3 linked regions of the Caenorhabditis elegans genome follow. The protein of the gene in region 2 interacts with the protein of the main gene of each other region in a pairwise test. Each region holds a gene or a part of one and is shown on either strand. Other genes may lie near its edges. The genes, in order: gst-19, nhr-111 and gad-1.

Evidence for each region.
Region 1: the proteins of nhr-111 (region 2) and gst-19 interact in a two-hybrid assay, tested with the Caenorhabditis elegans proteins (2 studies listed by BioGRID).
Region 3: the proteins of nhr-111 (region 2) and gad-1 interact in a two-hybrid assay, tested with the Caenorhabditis elegans proteins (2 studies listed by BioGRID).

Annotation. Positions count from the first base shown.
Region 1 is NC_003280.10:13,625,146-13,628,898, reverse strand, and holds gst-19 (glutathione transferase), read left to right. Parts: upstream 1-1,753; 5' UTR 1,754-1,757; coding exon 1,758-1,890; intron 1,891-2,823; coding exon 2,824-3,314; 3' UTR 3,315-3,354; downstream 3,355-3,753. Other genes in the region: gst-17 (glutathione transferase), read left to right, coding at 246-265, 336-840.
Region 2 is NC_003283.11:16,122,760-16,126,512, reverse strand, and holds nhr-111 (Nuclear hormone receptor family member nhr-111), read left to right. Parts: upstream 1-1,673; 5' UTR 1,674-1,731; coding exon 1,732-1,783; intron 1,784-2,191; coding exon 2,192-2,302; intron 2,303-2,344; coding exon 2,345-2,515; intron 2,516-2,711; coding exon 2,712-2,851; intron 2,852-2,906; coding exon 2,907-2,996; intron 2,997-3,037; coding exon 3,038-3,209; intron 3,210-3,258; coding exon 3,259-3,458; 3' UTR 3,459-3,618; downstream 3,619-3,753. Other genes in the region: fbxa-143 (F-box domain-containing protein), read left to right, coding at 1-396, 444-650. UniProt on the Caenorhabditis elegans protein: Orphan nuclear receptor.
Region 3 is NC_003283.11:6,431,805-6,435,557, reverse strand, and holds the start of gad-1 (Gastrulation defective protein 1), read left to right. Parts: upstream 1-2,061; 5' UTR 2,062-2,070; coding exon 2,071-2,263; intron 2,264-2,310; coding exon 2,311-3,056; intron 3,057-3,104; coding exon 3,105-3,283; intron 3,284-3,327; coding exon 3,328-3,647; intron 3,648-3,694; coding exon 3,695-3,753. Other genes in the region: erfa-1 (Eukaryotic peptide chain release factor subunit 1), read right to left, coding at 1-88, 137-870, 917-1,242, 1,289-1,398.

The sequences.
Region 1 (3,753 bases), on a different chromosome or scaffold from region 2:
TAAAATTGAAATTCTGAAATTTCCAAAAACAAAAACGTGGCAATTTGCAAAGTTGCCAGAAATTTCAATTCCGGCAATTTGCAAAGTTGCCGAAAATGTTATGAAAAACTGGTGGAAAAGCGAATCATTTACTCTTGGAGAAAACCCTCTCTCTCGATTCGTGGGCTCGCGGAGCCCGCGAGGCTCATGTTCCATTCAGCTGGAGTACCTTTTGAAGATGTACGTATGGTTTTTCCGAGTTGTGAATGGGACAAAAAGAAGAAAAGTGAGTTTTTTTTTGCTTTCGGAAATTTCAGAAGGATTCCAAAAAAAAATTCCCAGCAAAATTGTTACAGCGACCCCAATGCACACTACAGCGACCCCAATGCACACTACAGCGACCCCAATGAATTTGAAATTCCTCAGTCTGGAGCAATCAATAGCTACCTTGCCAGAAAATTCGGATTCGCTGGAAAAACCGCAAAGGATCAAGCCTGGGTAGACGCTACAACTGATCTTTACAAAGACTTTTTCGAAGTCTTCCGAAAAATGATCCGAGCAAGACGAAACAAACTTCCAGCCGATGAGCTCGCAAAGCTCACCTCTGAGATCCTAATTCCTGCTAGACATCCATATTTTGAAATTCTCAATGGTATTTTGGAGAGGAACAAGTCAGGATATCTTGTTGGAGATGACATAACTTTGGCAGATCTTGCCATATCCGAAAATGTAGACAGTCTCAAAAACTATGGACTTTTCAAGGCTGAAGAGCAGCCAAAATTGGCAGCTCTCCGTGAAAAAGTGTATTCACACTCGGCTCTTAAGAACTATATTGCTAATCGTCCATTTACTGAGCATTGATTTTTTTTCCAAAACTAATTGCTAAATAAAATTTTTTGTAATAGTACAATATATATACATATCAGGGGTGGGCGACAAACAATTAACTCCGGCAAATCGGCAAACGGGCAAATTTCTGGAATTGAAATTTTTCGGCAAATTGGCAAATTTCCAGAATTGAAATTTTCCGGCAAATCGGCAAATTTCCAGAATTGAAATTTTCGGCAAATCGGCAAATTTCCAGAATTAAAATTTTCGGCAAATCGGCAAACCGGCAAATTTCCAGAATTGAAATTTTCGGCAAATCGGCAACTTTCCAGAATTGAAATGTTCCGGCAAATCGGCAACTTTCCAGAATTAAAATTTTCGGCAAATTGGCAAATTTCCAGAATTGAAATTTTCCGGCAAATCGGCAAATTTCCAGAATTGAATTTTCGGCAAATCGGCAAACCGGCAAATTTCCAGAATTGAAATTTTCGGCAAATCGGCAAACCGGCAAATTTCCAGAATTGAAATTTTCCGGCAAACCGGCAACTTTCCAGAATTGAAATTTTCCGGCAAATCGGCAAACAAATCAAATTGTGGTTTTGCACATTTTTTTGAAATTTCCGAATTTCAATTTTAATCAGCAAAACATCTTGAATTTTCCTACATCTATTTTGGAAAGTAAGCAAATTATTGGCTATTTGCCGAAAATCTAAATTTCCGGCAGATCGGCAAACCGTCAATGTATACATATATATATCATTTTTTCAATTTTTCGATAGTGAAGTTTATAACTATAATACTATGTGACTCTAGAGAAATTCAAAGAAACCAAGACGCAGACGCCTAGACAAACGGACGTGACTTTAGCCATGCACTGTTTCATTGAGGTTTACTCTAGTTCAGGGCCATATATAAACAACTATGCCCACCATGACAGAATTCAAACAATCATGCCTTCCTACAAATTTACCTATTTCCCGTTTCGTGGGCTCGGCGAGCCGGTGAGACTTTTGTTCCATCTAGCTGATTGCCCGTTTAAAGATGAACGGTTTAGTTTTGAGGAGTGGGGAGCTGTGAAGTCAAGTGAGTTTGGGTTTTATTTTATAGTTTTTTAGGTAGAAAATTTGAATTTTCAAAAAATTAAATTTTATATAATAAACAGGTTTAAAACAGGGGTGTGCGGCAAATCTCAAAATTTGCAGAGCTCGACAAATTCGGCAATCTATCTTTTCAAAATTTTCCGTGCTGGGCAAATTAGACAAATTTGCCGAGCTCAGCAAAAGGCAAACTTGGCAAATCTACTTTTTTCGAATTTTTTCCGTTCTGGGCAATTTCGGCAAATTTGCCGGGCTGGACAAATTTGGCAAAATTGCGGTGATGGGCAAATTCGGCAAATCTACTTTTTTTCGAAATTTGCCGGGCTCGGCAATTGGCAAATCCGGCAAATCTTGTTTTTTTTTATTTTCGAAAATTTACAGTGCTGGGCAAATTCGGAAAATTTGCCGAGCTCAGCAATCGGCAAATTCGCCAAATCTACTTTTTCGAAATTTGCCGTGCTGGGCAAATTAGGCAAATTTGCCGTGCTCAGCAAAAGGCAAACTTGGCAAATCTACTTTTTTCGAATTTTTTCCGTTCTGGGCAACTTCGGCAAATTTGCCGGGCTGGACAAATTTGGCAAAATTGCGGTGATGGACAAATTCGGCAAATCTACTTTTTTTTCGAAATTTGCCGGGCTCGGCAATTGGCAAATCCGGCAAATCTTGTTTTTTTTTCGAAAATTTACAGTGCTGGGCAAATTCGGCAAATTTGCCAAGCTCAGCAATCGGCAAATTCGGCAAATTGGGCAAATTTGCCGCACACCCCTTGTTTAAAATGTCGAAAAAAAAATTATTTTGAAAGAAACTCAAATTAAAACCTTTCAAAATTTTTTCAGCTTTCAAATTTGTTGAAATTTTTATTTTTCAAAAATTATTAACGAACATTCAAAGCCCAGAAAAAATATTTTTCCAATTCCAGAGTCCCCAATGGGTCAGCTACCCATCCTAGGCGTCGACGGACTTGAGATCCCCCAATCTGCTGCAATTCTCCGCTACCTTGCTCTGAAATTCGGATTTGCTGGGAAAACTCCAGAGGATCGAGCTTGGGTGGACGCCGTAGTCGATCGGTTCAAGGATTTCTTCGTAGAATTCAAAAAGTTCCTGGTTGCAAAGCGTGGCGGAAAATCAGAGGAAGAAGTCGCAAAAGTTGTGTCAGAATCTGTAGTCCCAGCTATGGAATCCTACTTTAAGCTTCTCAATGGTCTGCTGGAAAGAAGCAAGTCCGGATTCCTGATCGGAAATTCTATTACTTACGCGGATCTTGTAGTCGTCAATAATCTGGAGACTCTTAGAAACTTTGGATTTCTGAATGCATCGGAGCAACCGAAATTGACGGCTCTTCTAGAGAAAGTGTACTCGCAGCCAGGGATCAAGGAATATGTATCTAGTCGTACAGCTTCTGATTTTTAGTTTTTTTCTATGTTCTCTATAAATGAATTTATAATTATGGGTCAAATCTTTTTATTTTACACTTCAAATCACATGACACATACATAAATACAAATGGCTTAAAATGAATATTCGGCAACTGAACTTGCTTCAATATACTCCTTAACTCCTGGATAAGAAACCACTTTCTCGCGAAGAGCTGCCCAGCTTTGGAAATTACGATGCTTCAAAGAACCCGTAGTTTTTCAGAGTCTCCAGATTATCAACAACGACAAGATCCGCAAAAGTGATGCCACTCCCGAGGAGAAATCCCTACTTGTTCTTTTCCAGAAGCCCATTAAGGATGTTGAAGTAGGTATTTCTAGCAGGCAAGAACATCTCGGATTTGATCTTTTCAAGTTCTTCCTTGGATTTTCCACTGCGTCGTTCTGCGGTAAACTTTTTGAATCGAAGATAGAAA
Region 2 (3,753 bases):
ATGAAGAATCCGGCACTTCGCTTGGAAAAATTTCCGATTCAGCTTTCTGTTGATGTTGAGCAAACTGGGACTTATTTTTCAACTCTTCTTGATGTTTTGAAATCCTCCATGTCTTGCCTACACGTTAAAAAGTTTCATGGGACAGATTTCTCCGAGGAGCAGCTTCTATTAGTGATCCCTTTCCTAAAAGCTGGATATCTTGAAAAAATTGAGCTGCTTTCCAATGAGCCCACAGATCTCGAGAAAATCGCTAAACTTGAGCAATGGAAAAGAGCACAAGTTTTTGATTCGTTCTGGAAGAGTTATAAGGTTTCTGTCGAGGATATGCTCCATTTCAGAGAGTTCTATGTAATTGTACCTTGCTTTTCAAAAGAGGATGCAGTAAAACTGAGAGATGTAAGTTTAAATAAAAAATCGAAAAAAAATCCAAGTATTATTTTCAGTTGCTCACAAAATCAGTGGACTTCGAGAACGGGTGCTTCAAGTTCCCCGAAACCAACATTATCGAAATAGTGAGAGTTTTCATTCTGGACTACGAAGGAGAAGAACGGGCCAAAATTGATTATAACGAGAATGGCACAGATTTTATCTTGGACTTTAGCACAGAACACTTTCGATTGACAAAAAAGAAGATTGTGGACAGTGACTGAAATTAAATTTTAAAAAATATGATTTTTTTTAAAAGTTTTTGTATTGAATAAATTTGAGACAGACCGACGGCTCGAATTTCAGGTCAAAAGTAGAATTTTGCAGTTTGCATAATTTCAGTTTTTGATCACCCCATTCAGTAGGGAGCCATAAAAAATGGAATGATGATTAATATGCTCTTCTGAAAAATTAGACTTGTGTAAACACAGTGACGGATAACGACGTACGATTCGATAAAAAGGAATAGCTGCGGGAAATGGTGAGCACATGTGTAGGCTAGGAAGCAGTAGGCATTTTTTAGATGTGTTTGGTGCGGTTCAGTCAATTTTTTGCTGGGCTTTTGTGCTTCACATTGAGAGCGTTTTGATATTTTTGACTAGAAACTGAATGTGAGAAAATACTTGTTTCCGAGTATACTAGATGCTATACATAGGTTTTACAGTTTTATATCTTTATTGCATTTAACTGAAAATGACCAAAATCTGAAAAGTACGTAATTGGAAAATGTATGTCAAATTTCAGAATTTAATTAAATATACAACTGAATCGAAATCTGAATATTCTGAAATTTTCAATGAAGATCTCAGTTTTTTTTCCACCATCTTTTGCGCTAGGTTAGCTTAAAGACATTTTTCGTTTAAAATGAAAAAGTATTTAAATGAAAAATGACATATATTACGAAAATTTCCGCTTTCAGAAAATGTGATATCATATATTTCCAGCGGACAATTTCCGCATTTCTATGACTCAACAATTTATAGTCCAAATTTTATTTCAATTCGATCATTCCCTAGTGAATGTTTGCTTCTGATTGATTTCAACTTTAAATACACAAGTGATCTGAAGTATGGTATATCTGCAAAAAATTTTAGAGAGATTGCTGCTCAACTTTTGGCACCTTTTCTCTCGTTTCTCTAACTGTCACTTTATCCTTCTTGTACTAAGCCGGCTGCCTCCAACAGGTCAAGTGGGAGGAGTCGTGATTAGAAGTTGAGCAGTAACCAAATTATTTTTATGCTATTATTGTAGATACTGACAGGATATTCTCAACTTACTCAACGAGAGAATATTTAACAAAAAAAGATGAGCAGCCAAAATGCGAAGTCAATCGGTGGCATTTTGGAAACTTCAACAGGTATGCCCCAATTTATGGGATCGAAAAATTTTTTCATGCTTTAACTAGATAATTACTCAACTCACCGAAATGTATAAATGAAAGCATTTGGTAAAATATATCAGAAAATTTTTAGAAGTCGAAAACAAACTTGCAACGTTGTTTTCTAGATTTTGGAATTTTTTTGACATTTTCGAACAGATTGATAGCAATTTTTGTACTATACTTGTTGACATCTCAAAAATGTATTCTATGTTTCCATTATTTAGATCCCAGTTACGTTATAACCTGACAGAGGTTTGCGGGCGGTAAGTAGAAAAACCAGAAGCTTACAAAACTTGACCGCACTTATCAGCTTCTCAATTTACTTAGTTCAAAAGTTTTATGACAGAAGATTTACAATCTTTCACGCATATCTATAACTTTCAGTGCCTCTGGTCATCCAACCGCAGATTGTAAATGACCCCGCGCAAAACAACATAACTCTTCCAATCACGCTTTGTGCAGTTTGTGGGGACACTTCTAACGGAAATCATTACGGTTGGAAAGAAGATTTAGAAACTAGATAACAATGAATTTTAGGTGTGCCAACCTGTTTCGGATGCAGTGGGTTCTTCAGAAGAACCGTTAGAAACAAGTTGGTACATGGATGTTGGAATGGAGACGGAAACTGTGTGATTGATAAAGCGAACCGGAACAGGTGCAAGTCCTGTCGAATTAAAAAGTGCTTCAAGAAGGGGATGAATAAGAATGGTAAGCTGCTTCTCTGAGTTTGGGCTTCAGATCATTAACTTTGTGTTTGCACCATATAGTGCGGTAGGTATTTTTCAGTGGCCGACATTTTTTTGAGTTTCGCGCCGCACCATATTAACAAAGGCCTGAGGCCGGCAGAAGCCTCCTGAAGCCGGCGAAGGCGACACAGTTTCGTCTCTAAATAATTATTTTCCAGCTGTGCAACCCGAGAGAACTTCCCATAGCTACACTGTAGAGTATGTCGAGTTGCCCTCATTCCGAGAGTATTCCAAGGGACTTCTGCCTACTCACTCTGATCGTCTCAGATTCCAACACGAACATGCTCAACATGAAATTGTTAGTTAATCAGGAGACAAACTATCAACCTGAGACACCACAAATTTAATTTCAGGACACAAGCTCCGTGCTAGTTCATCTGAAAAACGCACTCCAGTGGGTGCAACAGTTTTCGCTCTTCGCAGTGCTTTCCGATGTTGAAAAGGTCTAAATGCCAAACATAAAAGTCATTAAAAAAATTTCCAGAGCCAGATCATACTGACCCAGTGGCCACATCTTTTGTGCCTCGCGTTGTTCGAAAACTCCGAAAAAATCTTCATCGATGAAAAATTTGCACAACTGGCTGAGAAATTCAAATCCCTCGAACTTTCGGCGCAGGATTATTTCCTCTTGAAGGGAATTATTATTTTCACGGAAAGTAAGTTTAACTAGAAAAGCTGCTGAGCTTTCAGAAACTAAAATTTCAGCCAAAGATGGCACTGATCTCAAATTCGATCGCCAACTTGATATCTGTATCGGCCTTCTCAATCAGTTGCACCTGGAGTCTTCAAAGTCCAAATCTGGAAGGCTTCTATTTCTCCTCGGCGAGCTTAAATCCTATTCTACTAGACAGCTTGAATCTCTCCTGGATCTTAAAGCTTGTGAGATTGTGATTAGTTTTCTTTAAATTTTGACTATTTTTCTGATGCTGTTATATGCACACATTACCCCCATTTTGCTCACTAGTAGTGCTCAGCTTAAGCTTAGACTTAGGCTTACGGTTAAGCTTAGGCTAAGGCTTAGGCCTTGGCATAGGTCCTGGCTTAGAGATTTTCATTTAATTTGCAACTGTTTCCTCAAAAACAATGTTCAAACCCAAATTTCTTTCCTATTTTTTCTCCAGATTCCCCCAAGGCAACCAAATTTTTTAAACAATTTTCTTCTCGATCAGTTGAAATACTTCCAAAAACGTTACAACGATT
Region 3 (3,753 bases), 9.7 Mb from region 2:
GCAATCCTCCGATACCTCCGAATCCTCGAACAAACTGGGCTCCTTCTTGCGACTTATCTGTGACGATTTCCAAAGCTGCTCCGAAGTTCTACAAAACATTAATAAAAAATTAAATTTCGATAAAGCGAGCGCCCACCTTGTAGTTATTAGCAAACCATTCCAAAAGTGGCATAGTCTCAATAATTTCCATATCTTGTCCAGTTTCACTGTCGGTGAAATGAGATTTGTCCTTCTCCTCGTCAGGTCTCAGATTCAGAAGAATGTCCTCTCCGAGTGAATTTTTCATCTTGTACCGAACAATATCCAAATTCTCCCAGCAGATGAGAGTTTCAATAGCTCCCATTTCAAGTGCGGCAAGAGTGTCTTTAACTCCGAAAACGTATTTTCCAGTGTCTTGGCTGATTTCATCGAAATATCCACCAATCAGTTTCTTTTCCTGAATGAACTTAACACTTGCCAGCGTATCGGCAGCAAGTTCAATAGCTTGGTTGAAACCATTTTCACCACCATAAGCAATATCGACAGTCTTGATCATCTTGGCTTGAAGTCTTTGATCAAACATATCAGATTGTCCCAACTCTGTCTTGAAATCTGCACTACCAGCAAGAATAAGTCCAGCAACTGTAACCTTGTCGTTCTTGATAAATTGTTCCACCGAATTTTCAGCTACTTTACGGACGTAATTGTGCCGCTTCTCATTACGGAGACGAGCAAAACGGACAGCAGATTGACCTCCTCTACCGTGCTTCTTTGGAAGATCGACAGTGAACTTGTGCAGAACTTCACGAGTGTTTCCTTGGAGTGTTCCGAACAGACAACCGTTTCCATCCATAATGATAAATCCGAACTTGTTATCGTCAGCAAGAAGACCTGAAAAATGGTATATTTTATGATGCATGATGAAAATTAGAAATACCTTGAAGAGCTTCGGTGTGAAATTTGTTGTCGCAGAGATACAATGAAGTATTGATTGCTTTGAATGGCTCAAAATCAATGTTAACTTTCTTTTCCTTTCCTTCGTCGGTCATGATTGTTCCACAGTAAACGACCAATCCATTTGGTGGGACTTTGTTGTAGAGTTTCAATCTTCCCTGTACTGATGTGATAGCTCCCAAAACGGAAAGTCTGTTGACACGAGACTTGATGTTAGATGCCGTTCCGTACTCTTCGGCCAACATTCTCTGGATTCTAGCCACTTGATCTTTTGGTGGAATGATCAGCGAAATCATAGAAGTTCCATTTCTGTAAAAAAACAAATGTAAAATAAACGCTTCACGAAAATAGTTACCCTCTGGCTAATTCCAAACTTTTGATGAGCCGTTTAATTTTCCACATTTCGACATTTCTATCGGCGGCGTCATCGCCTCCGGCGGTAGCACCTGCTGCGGGAGCGCTCATATTCTATTTGTGCTGCACGTCACCGATTACCTGTAATTGTATTATATAAAACACGAAAAGAGAGTTAAAGTAATTAATTCGGGGAAGAAACTCAAAAATGCGAAAAAAAAGATATTTATAGAGAACTGGTTATTCTACATTGCACAGAGTTGTGATGGAAAATTAGAATATTGTGCAACATGTTGCAATGGTTTCAATTTGATTTTTTTAGAAGAAAATGTATTTCGTTTTCTCTGAGCAATGACAAAATGATGAATAAAACATTTCTGAACAATTTAAACTGCAAAAATCGATAATTGATGACGCGTAAAAACTTTAAAAACTGAAAATGGGAAAAGAATTTAAATGGTGCCAAGGAACACGAATACGGTTTGTGGAAGGGTCTCGGCGCGAAGTAATGTCCGATTGTCCACACTTTCTCCGCGGCCTAGTCTCCGAAACAAGTCAGCCACGTCCTCAATGTTCGAAATTCGAAAACATTTTTCAGCTTTCATCAGAACTCCAGGACTGTTTCCAGAATTTATTAGTTTTTTTCGCCAAAATATTATATATGTACCACGGCAGTTCATTATATTGGTTGTATTACACGTTTCTTTTCGTTATTAACTCTTTTTTTCCCGTTACCGCCTAATAGATGAAAACGAATTTCAATAATTCTTTCAGATCACCACAATGGATGATAATACGGCTCCAAAAAAGAATTCTGAAAAGAAGGCACGCGTCTTTGACCTCCAAGCAATGTTCGCGCAAACGATAAGCAATGCTCCCAGAACTGAGGAACCAACTCACGTTCCGCAGTCGGTATCGGTGTCTTCTAAATCAGAATCTGGTGTTTCTTCTTCAGCTGTATCTGATGATGAAGATGGTAAGCCGAATATAATGTTTTAATTATTTCAAATTTGTTTTTTCCAGATTTCATGCCAGATCTACCTCCAGGATTCCAAATGCAACAGTCTGAAGCGGGCCCCTCCTCGTCTCGAGCTGAAGGTCCCGAAGATAGTGATGATAGCGATTTTGACGAGACAGAAGCAATCTCCATCATCAAACTGATTCCAGCTGCATGTGAAGCGAAGATCAGCCATGGCACTCAAGCCATCAGTGCACTTCGGGTTGAGCCTCCTGGTGTTCGGTTTGCCAGTGGAGGGCTTGACTATTACGTGAAGCTGTTCGATTTTCAAAAAATGGACATGTCAATGAGATACGACAAAGAGCTTCTGCCTGCAGAAAGTCACGTTATCAATTCCCTGGCATTCTCTCCGAACGGCGAAACTCTTGTAGTAGCTAGTGGAGAAGCTATCATTCGCCTACTGGATCGAGCAGGAAAACAATGGTCTGAAACAGTTCGTGGAGATCAGTATATTATTGATTTAAACATCACTAAAGGACACACAGCAACAGTTAACTGTGTCGAATTCAATCCACTAAACAAGAACGAGTTTATCTCTTGTTCTGATGATGGAAGTCTACGACTATGGAACCTCGATGATCATAAAGTAATCACCAAATGCATCAACAAGCACAGGAAAGTCATCAAAACAAAAGGAGCTAATGGAAAACGTGTCAGCCCGCAAGTTTGCACGTTTTCTCCTGACGGAAAATGGATTGCCGCCGGTTGTGATGACGGATCTGTTCAAGCATGGAAGTATGGATCGCAATATGTAAGTTGAAGTTCAAAAACACTGTTTATTCTCATATTTTAATTTTAGGTCAATGTAAATTACCTTGTACGCAAAGCTCACAACGGCTCGATTACTTCTATTGCTTTTTCGCCCGATTCAAAGAGATTACTGTCTAGAGGTTTTGATGACACTCTGAAGATGTGGAGCTTAGATAACCCAAAAGAGCCGCTTCTTGTGAAAACCGGTCTCGAAAACGCTTTCAAAAGGTATCCTTCTATTAAAAACTTCACCATAAGTATATTTTTTGTAGTACTGATTGCGGATTCTCCCCTCGTGCCGAGGTTGTCTTCACTGGTACATCGTCACCCAACAAGGATACACCTGGAACATTACAATTCTTTGATCCAATGACATTTGATCTTGTCTATAAAATTGATTACCCTGGAATTTCGTGCCACCGAATTCAGTGGCACCCGCGATTGAATCAAATTATCGCTGGACTCTCGGATGGCACCATTCACGTGTACTACGATCAAACGATGTCACAGCGAGGAGTTATGTCATGTGTGACGAAGCCACTCAAAAGAAATCGCGCATCTGAAGTTGTTCGAGAAGATATGGTTCTTTCTCGTAAGTTAAACAATTTTTTTCGAAAAATATTTATCTTCATATTTCAGCTCTTTCCCTCGAAATGTTCCAACCGCGCGGAGAGGAAGGAGAAGAAAAGGAAGTCACT